Macaca fascicularis: one gene and its partner. The protein of the gene in region 1 interacts with the protein of each later gene in a biochemical or structural test. Links are inferred from orthologs where the notes say so. Each region holds a gene or a part of one and is shown on either strand. Other genes may lie near its edges. The genes, in order: KLHL20 and DAPK1.

Region 1 (3,821 bases):
CTGCAGAGTTACTACTTTTTAATAAATTTTATTAGATTCTGCAAGATATTAGCAAGGTAGCACATCAGCCAGGGCAAGAGTTATTTGCTAAATTAGTTAAAGTAATAAAATGGGGTCAAAAATCAGATTGCTAAAAAGAACCACTGTACTGTCACAAATTCACTATCTGGTAACATATGAATGGTTTACTCTCAACAAGTCTACTGAGACAAATTTCCTGTCTTGTTAAGATACTTTAAGAGAAGAATCTAGTAATTACACTTGTAATTACTTTGCCATGGCTCACGCCTGTAATCCCAACACTTTCGGAAGCTGAGGGGCGGGTGGATCACGAGGTCAAGAGATCAAGACCATCCTGGCCAATATGGTGAAACCATGTCTAAAATACAAAAAGTAAAATACAAAAAGTAGCCAGGCATGGTAGCGCACACCTGTAGTCCCAGCTACTCGGGAGGCTGAGGCAGGAGAATAGCTTGATCTTGGGAGGCGGAGGTTGCAGTGAGCCGAGATTGTGCCACTGCACTCCAGCCTGGCAACGGAGTGAGACTCCGTCTCAAAAAAAAAAAAAAAAAAAAAAAGACTTTGACCTCCTAATAGTTTGTTAGGTCATTTGAGGGTTCCTAGAAATAATACTATAGAGTTATAATATTGAGCAAACCAACACAAAATTAATGGTAGCAACAAGACTTACAGCTATACGCTAGTCATGGTTTTAAGTGCTTAATATATATAAACTCATTTAATCTTCAAAACAGCCTTATGGAATAGGCACTATTATCATCCTCACTTTATAGAGGAAGAAACTGCAGCACAAAGAAGTTAGGATATCAGGAAGGGTCTTCTTTTAAATGTGACTTCGTAAGTACCTTTACTTTCTGCATCAGAATCAGTACAATCTGATTTACGTTTAATGGAGGAGGGCATCTATGTATTATTTCTTCAGATTTCAGCATGTATAATGTATATGGTTTTCCTTTTTGCTACTGCAAATATTTAGGGAGAATTAATTACCATTTGTCTGTGTTTTAAATATAAAAGACAAATATCTAGTTTAACTCTAGTCCACGGTAAAGGGAAAAACAATGATTAATATAAAAAAGATATAATAAAATAAAATAGAAACATCTAAAATCCCCTCCAGCCTCTCCTGTTAAAAGAACAGGCTTTAGTTTATAGAAGAAATGTAAGTGAATCTACATGTCCTACCACCATTCTAAAATCAGGGATCATTCTAAATGTCTTTAATCACCAAGGGAGGTCCAAAGGTCAGTGTAGTTTAAAAAGTTCTGAGTATGGATTTTCTCTTTCACTTTTATATTTGGGACATGCTGGGAAAAATGGTTAAAAATCGCAGATTTCAGATTTGAACCTAAATCTTAAAATCTGTCAAATTGGGAATGTAATTTATTACATTTTGTATATACTTTAGAGACAGCCTAGTAAAACAGGTTGCCTTTTTTCCCCCCCTTTGTAAAAGTAGTTGGAGTTTCTTTTGTCAAAAAAATTCTGGAAACTGCTTCACCTAGTTCTAGTGAAAATCTTTCTACAGCTATTTTAGAAGGTGGCAGATCTTTAACTCTGTCCACAATTTAGAAAGCAAGGCTGATTCTATTCCCCAACCAGACATATGTGATGGAAGGAAAAAATGTTCACTGACAGAGTCAACATTTTCAATTATCTCAAGGAAAAAAAAAATATTAGCAGAGAATTGACTCTTCAAATTCAAGCCTGCATCAGAATCTTGGAAATCTACCTCTTTATTGCCACTTCTACACCAATAAGCACCACACATAAAAAACTAACGGAATGGAACACTGGAAGTTTAGTTCTCTCTTCTTCCTTTTCCTCCTCTTGACCCTAGCTCAGAAGAAAGTCTTGTTAAATTAATGCCCTGATTTCAGCTCTACAAAATACAACATTTAGGAAGCAATATAAATAAAGAAATTAGGAAGAAATAGGAATGCTTAGTTGTTGATTTTTCCCATCCAGGGTCACTCATACCTGCATTCTTCATCACTTTTGATGAGGGGATCAGAGCCTACTGTGCCCACGAGGAACTTGGGACTAAGCAAAGGCAAACGAACATGCTGCAGCACCTATGAGAAAATAAACACCATTATTTTAATTAATTAATTTTGAGATAGGTCTTACTTTGTTGCCCAGGCTGGAGTGTAGTGGTGTGATCATGGGTCACTGCAGCCTCAACCTCCTGGGCTCAAGTGATCTGCCTACCTCAGCCTCCAGAGTAGCTGCAACTACAGGTACATGCCACCATGCCCAGTGAATTTTTGTATTTTTTTTTTTTGTAGAAACAGGGAATCACCATGCCGCCCAGGCTGGTCTCAAACACCTGAGCTTAAGCAATCTGCCTGCCTTATCCTCCCAAGTGCTGGGATTATGGGCTTGCACCACTGCACCCAACGAATAACACTATTAAAGGCATGAGCTCTCATCTATAAGATATTTAAGAGAATACATGACCCATGGCACCCTACTGTGCTTCCAGCTGTTTTGGGATCTCACTGAATACCATAAATAAGGAAGGCGGGAAGGCGTAACTACTAAAAATGTTCAGCAATACATTATAAGCTGGACTCAAATTAATTCACAATCCGGAAGAATATCTTGTTGAATTGCTAAAGACTATAGTCACAATAACGAGAATGGGTCTGAAGTGAACTACTGATCGCTCAGTGACGACTGATGCATCATCTCTTTACTCTTGAAAGTGTGGTACTATTTCCAAGTTATATTGAAGGAAAACTGTGGTAGGATTTTCAAGCTATAGAAAAGAAGCATCCTTGCTTTCTTTTGTTCATTTTCTACAATTTAAGTTTTGAATTGTGCTATCATTCAAAAGTAGAAATATGGAGAAAGCAAAGGAACAAAAAGCCCACATTAATAAGCAACCAAAATGCTTCTAAATACTTATTTCCTTGATTATTTGGAAACAGATGGACTTTCTTACAGACAAATGTAGAGTGATAACTGTTTTATGTTTGCATGACAATACATATTATCTCATCTAGTACTAAGTAGTTTCTTTTTTTTTTTGAGACGGAGTCTCGCTCTGTCGCCAAGCTGGAGTGCAGTGGGGTGCAATCTCGGCTCACTGCAATCCCCGCCTCCTGGGTTCAAGCGATTCTCCTGCCTCAGGCTCCCAAGTAGCTGGGACTACAGGCGCCCACCACCACGCCCAGCTAATTTTTGTATTTTTAGTAGAGACGGGGTTTCACCATGTTGGCCAGGATGGTCTTGATCTCTTGACCTTGTGATCCACCTGCCTCGGCCTCCCAAAGTGATGGGATTACAGGCATAAGCCACCGCGCCTGGCCAGTAGTTTCTTAGAGAAGCATTTTTATCATTACCTGGGGTAACTGAGGACGTCTTTCCTGAATACTGTATTTGACCCAGGCCATCACTGCATTGAACACTTGTTCTTCACTGCGAACGTTTAGTTCATCACTGGATATTATATCAATGAGTTGATTGGCTGGAAGCAACATGAACTCTTCACTCTCCATTACCTGTTCAAAGTTAGGTAAGAAGAAAAAAAAAATCCTGTGATCACATTTATTGTCTCAATGTTTTTCTTCAGGGTTATGGGACAAAGCTGTATTCCACAATGCACTGAAGTTTAAAACGATACCAGAGGAAAAGAAAAACTTATAAAGAGAACAAAGGAAGGTACAGAAGACACCATTAAAGTTTAGTAAAAATAATCATTTGTGATTCAAGCAAATTAGGAAAAATGACTTAAAAAATAAATGATCAAAATAAAAATTTATATTCAAAATAAGCGAAATTAACTATACCAAACT
Region 2 (3,821 bases), on another chromosome or scaffold:
CATTTGCCTGGCTGGATGCAGGACGTAGTTGGAGATGAAACGGCGTGTAAGCCGTCCTCCCAGCCATGACAGAGGTGTGGTCTCTTTGGGAAGGGAAGACACAACAGGAGCAACAGGAAGTGGCAATGGTGAGAAGCTCCAGTTCAAGGCAGCGAGAAGTGGTCTGGTAAAGCAGTGTGCGCTCTGTCAGAGGAGATGATTCAGACCCGTAGAGCTGGGACAGGATTTCAGAGGAGGGAGGATTGTCCCCATTCTTTTTGTAGCAGAGCTGTCAGTGTCCCATTCATGTCCCCCCGGCCCCACAAACATGTGAAAAGACACACACTCGTATACAACCTAAAAGAGGGCTTGCTGCAAATACCTGTGACTCTTTCTGGCATCTTGTTTGTGGCCCTGGGAGCTGGAAATGCAAAAGAAAAATTTCCACAGAAGCAGCTGTCAGCCTTGGAGGATGGAGAGATGGAGAGATAAAGACCCCAGCTCCCTCATGCTACAATTGGAATAACACCGAGTTCTCCTTTTCGTCTCCCATTCCCCTAGTTACCCCCACCTTGATAGGACACTTCATAGCAGCTTCCTTCTGTTTCCCGTATCTCCTTCCCCTACCAAGTGTTTCCTGGTGTCCCCTCCTTGTCTCAAGCCTGCTTCAGGGAGAACCTAGAGCAAGACATGTATTTCCTTCTTGAAATAAGAAGATATACCCTATGAATTCTGTACAAAGCTGGCTTGCAGATTTTTTCTCGTCATTAGAGTTAAGACATCACCTCTACATACGTTTAATTAAAATGTTTTAAAGATACACTGACATTTTCTTCACAATGTTTTGTCTCTGCCCCTCCTCTCATTGGTGAACACAGAACCTTAGGAAAATGGTTCTGTGTATACTCTTTCCTGGTGTACTCTTTCAACCACCCTGCTATACTCTTTCCTGGTGTACTCTTTCAACCACCCTGCTATACTCTTTCCTGGTGTACTCTTTCAACCACCCTGCTATACTCTTTCCTGGTGTACTCTTTCAACCACCCTGCTATACTCTTTCCTGGTGTACTCTTTCAACCACCCTGGTATACTCTTTTCCTGGTGTACTCTTTCAACCACCCTGCTATACTCTTTCCTGGTGTACTCTTTCAACCACCCTGCTATACTCTTTCCTGGTGTACTCTTTCAACCACCCTGCTATACTCTTTCCTGGTGTACTCTTTCAACCACCCTGCTATACTCTTTCCTGGTGTACTCTTTCAACCACCCTGGTATACTCTTTCCTGGTGTACTCTTTCAACCACCCTGCTATACTCTTTCCTGGTGTACTCTTTCAACCACCCTGCTATACTCTTTCCTGGTGTACTCTTTCAACCACCCTGCTATACTCTTTCCTGGTGTACTCTTTCAACCACCCTGCTATACTCTTTCCTGGTGTACTCTTTCAACCACCCTGGTATACTCTTTTCCTGGTGTACTCTTTCAACCACCCTTTCTTCCCTAATTTTTGGCCTTTTTTTTTTTTTTCTCCTTTTGGGGGTGGGAAGAGAAGAACTGTTCTGCCATCTTGTCCTCAGCATAACGTATCATAGCTTTTTATTTCTCTCTTTTTTCAAGCCTGAGAACATAATGCTTTTGGATAGAAATGTCCCCAAACCTCGGATCAAGATCATTGACTTTGGGTTGGCCCATAAAATTGACTTTGGCAATGAATTTAAAAACATATTTGGGACTCCAGAGTTTGTCGGTAAGTTCCTTTGCTCCTGTGGTCATTTACATCTCATAAACATTATTCTGGCAAACCTCCCCTGCTGGAAGATTCTTTCCCCGTTCCATGTTCCTGGTTGTTGCATGAAGATAGAATTGGTTAGTTTGCTTCCTCCCAAGCTAAATGAGTGTTTGTTTCCTCTTAGCTCCTGAGATAGTCAACTATGAACCTCTTGGTCTTGAGGCAGATATGTGGTAAGGAGTATGTCCTTGGTGTTGTTTTCTTTCTGATTTATTTGACTATTCTCCTGATGTGTTCTTTTGTTTGTTTTGTGTTGTTTTTAGGAGTATCGGGGTAATAACCTATATCCTGTAAGTACCAGAATTCACAACTCATACTCTCTTCTCTTCTATGAGACCATAGGTTTAATTAACCATTAAATGTGCTGTGTTGATCTCTTCAGCTTATGCATGCTTTTGATGTAAACATATTCATTTTACACCCCCAAAACATGTTTAGTTTATACTAATTAAACGTGTTCTCCTAATTTGAAATGAGTCATCAGAAACTGTAGCATAATCACTGAAAGAAAGCATAGCTGTCCATCACTGCCGAGAAAACAGGTTTCCTGTAAACTACCAGATGCTGTTCCAAATTAACTTGTTAAGTGAATCCTTTTGCACGAAGCTGAAGCTTTTGGTCCTGACAGTTAAAGCCCTATGAAATATAATCAAACTCTCAAGTGATTATTCAAGCACCAGATTATAATCTTATTCCACACTCCAGATGTTATAGGAGCAAAATGACAACACCAAGGGGTCATCATTAATGTTCTGTGCCCAACTTTATTTTTAACAGCCTAAGTGGGGCTTCCCCATTTCTTGGAGACACTAAGCAAGAAACGTTAGCAAATGTGTCCGCTGTCAACTATGAATTTGAGGATGAATACTTCAGTAATACCAGTGCCCTAGCCAAAGATTTCATAAGAAGACTTCTGGTCAAGGATCCAAAGTGAGTGTCCATGTTCCTGAAAGGTGCTTGGCCACGGCCTCAGCCAGCCCAGAGCCTGTGCCTGTTCCATACACAGGGCCGCGTTTCTCAGACCCTGCTTGCTTCATCTGCCAAAGGGCAGCATGCCGTGTGAAGCGCTTCAGAAAATGCAAGCAGGGCCCTCTGCCCCCGCTCAGTCGGTCCCTGCAGGCACAGTGAAATAATCACAAAAAGACCGATGTCGTTTTTGGCTTTCTTCCCTGAACTGCATTTTCCAGAGTGTCTGCTCGGCAGGCCCAGCCAGCAGGAAAACAACCTTAGTATTTGCTGCTATGGTCACAGCATTTTTTCCTTTCTCCCCCTCCCCTCAAGGAAGAGAATGACAATTCAAGATAGTTTGCAGCATCCCTGGATCAAGGTGAGTTGCATATTACTTCACTGTTTAGATCACCTTCTGTGTGATTGGTTTGGGCACCCTGGTATTCGTGTGTCTTAGAGTACTGCTAACCTCAGGTCACACCTGGAGTGTTAAGTTTGCTATTTGCATCATATTTTAAGAAAATCCTAATAATCCCAGAGGTGGGGAAAGAGGAATAAGCCAGCACAGAGCAGGATTGTAAAAGGTCAAGCCCACTCAACAACTATGTTTGGAGTGACGTGTGGGGTGTTGGCCCAAACAGTATATTTAAAATTTTATGTTGATTCCAGCATGTAAATATCAATCAAATCTGGATTTCCAGCTTCTCTTGGGAAATCTGAAGATCTGCTGACACTGAGCCCTCATTCCACATGGCCTTGGGAAGTGGCACAGGCACCTTGGTGCTGGGGAACAGGGTCCCCTGGAACATTACACCTTTACATTACCTGCCTGGCCTGATTGACATTTGGATTAAAGTTGCTTCAATCCAGGGCAGAAAGGATTAGGGGTGGTAAAGGATGATAGTTACAGAATAAAATCATGAAACAAAGAAGTGAACATCACAGAAACAGGCTTTGGGGGCAAATAGCTTTGCTGTGCAAGCTCCCAGCGGTTACCTGGGCTCTCCTAGCCAGCTGTGGTGTCTCCTCCTCCCAGAGGTGGAAGATAAAAGCTAAATGCATCTACTGAAAAAGATACAGTACAAGGAATTCTCCTGCTATAGGC

What was found.
Region 2: the proteins of KLHL20 (region 1) and DAPK1 are reported together in a solved structure, tested with the Homo sapiens proteins (2 studies listed by BioGRID and IntAct, with this or other methods). The link is inferred for Macaca fascicularis from reciprocal best matches to the Homo sapiens genes KLHL20 and DAPK1.

The regions. Positions count from the first base shown.
Region 1 is NC_088375.1:31,337,273-31,341,093, reverse strand, and holds part of KLHL20 (kelch-like protein 20), read right to left. Parts: intron 3,528-3,821; coding exon 3,369-3,527; intron 2,097-3,368; coding exon 2,002-2,096; intron 1-2,001. UniProt on the Homo sapiens protein: Substrate-specific adapter of a BCR (BTB-CUL3-RBX1) E3 ubiquitin-protein ligase complex involved in interferon response and anterograde Golgi to endosome transport.
Region 2 is NC_088389.1:118,065,401-118,069,221, forward strand, and holds part of DAPK1 (death-associated protein kinase 1), read left to right. Parts: intron 1-1,596; coding exon 1,597-1,726; intron 1,727-1,892; coding exon 1,893-1,941; intron 1,942-2,031; coding exon 2,032-2,058; intron 2,059-2,545; coding exon 2,546-2,698; intron 2,699-3,049; coding exon 3,050-3,095; intron 3,096-3,821. UniProt on the Homo sapiens protein: Calcium/calmodulin-dependent serine/threonine kinase involved in multiple cellular signaling pathways that trigger cell survival, apoptosis, and autophagy.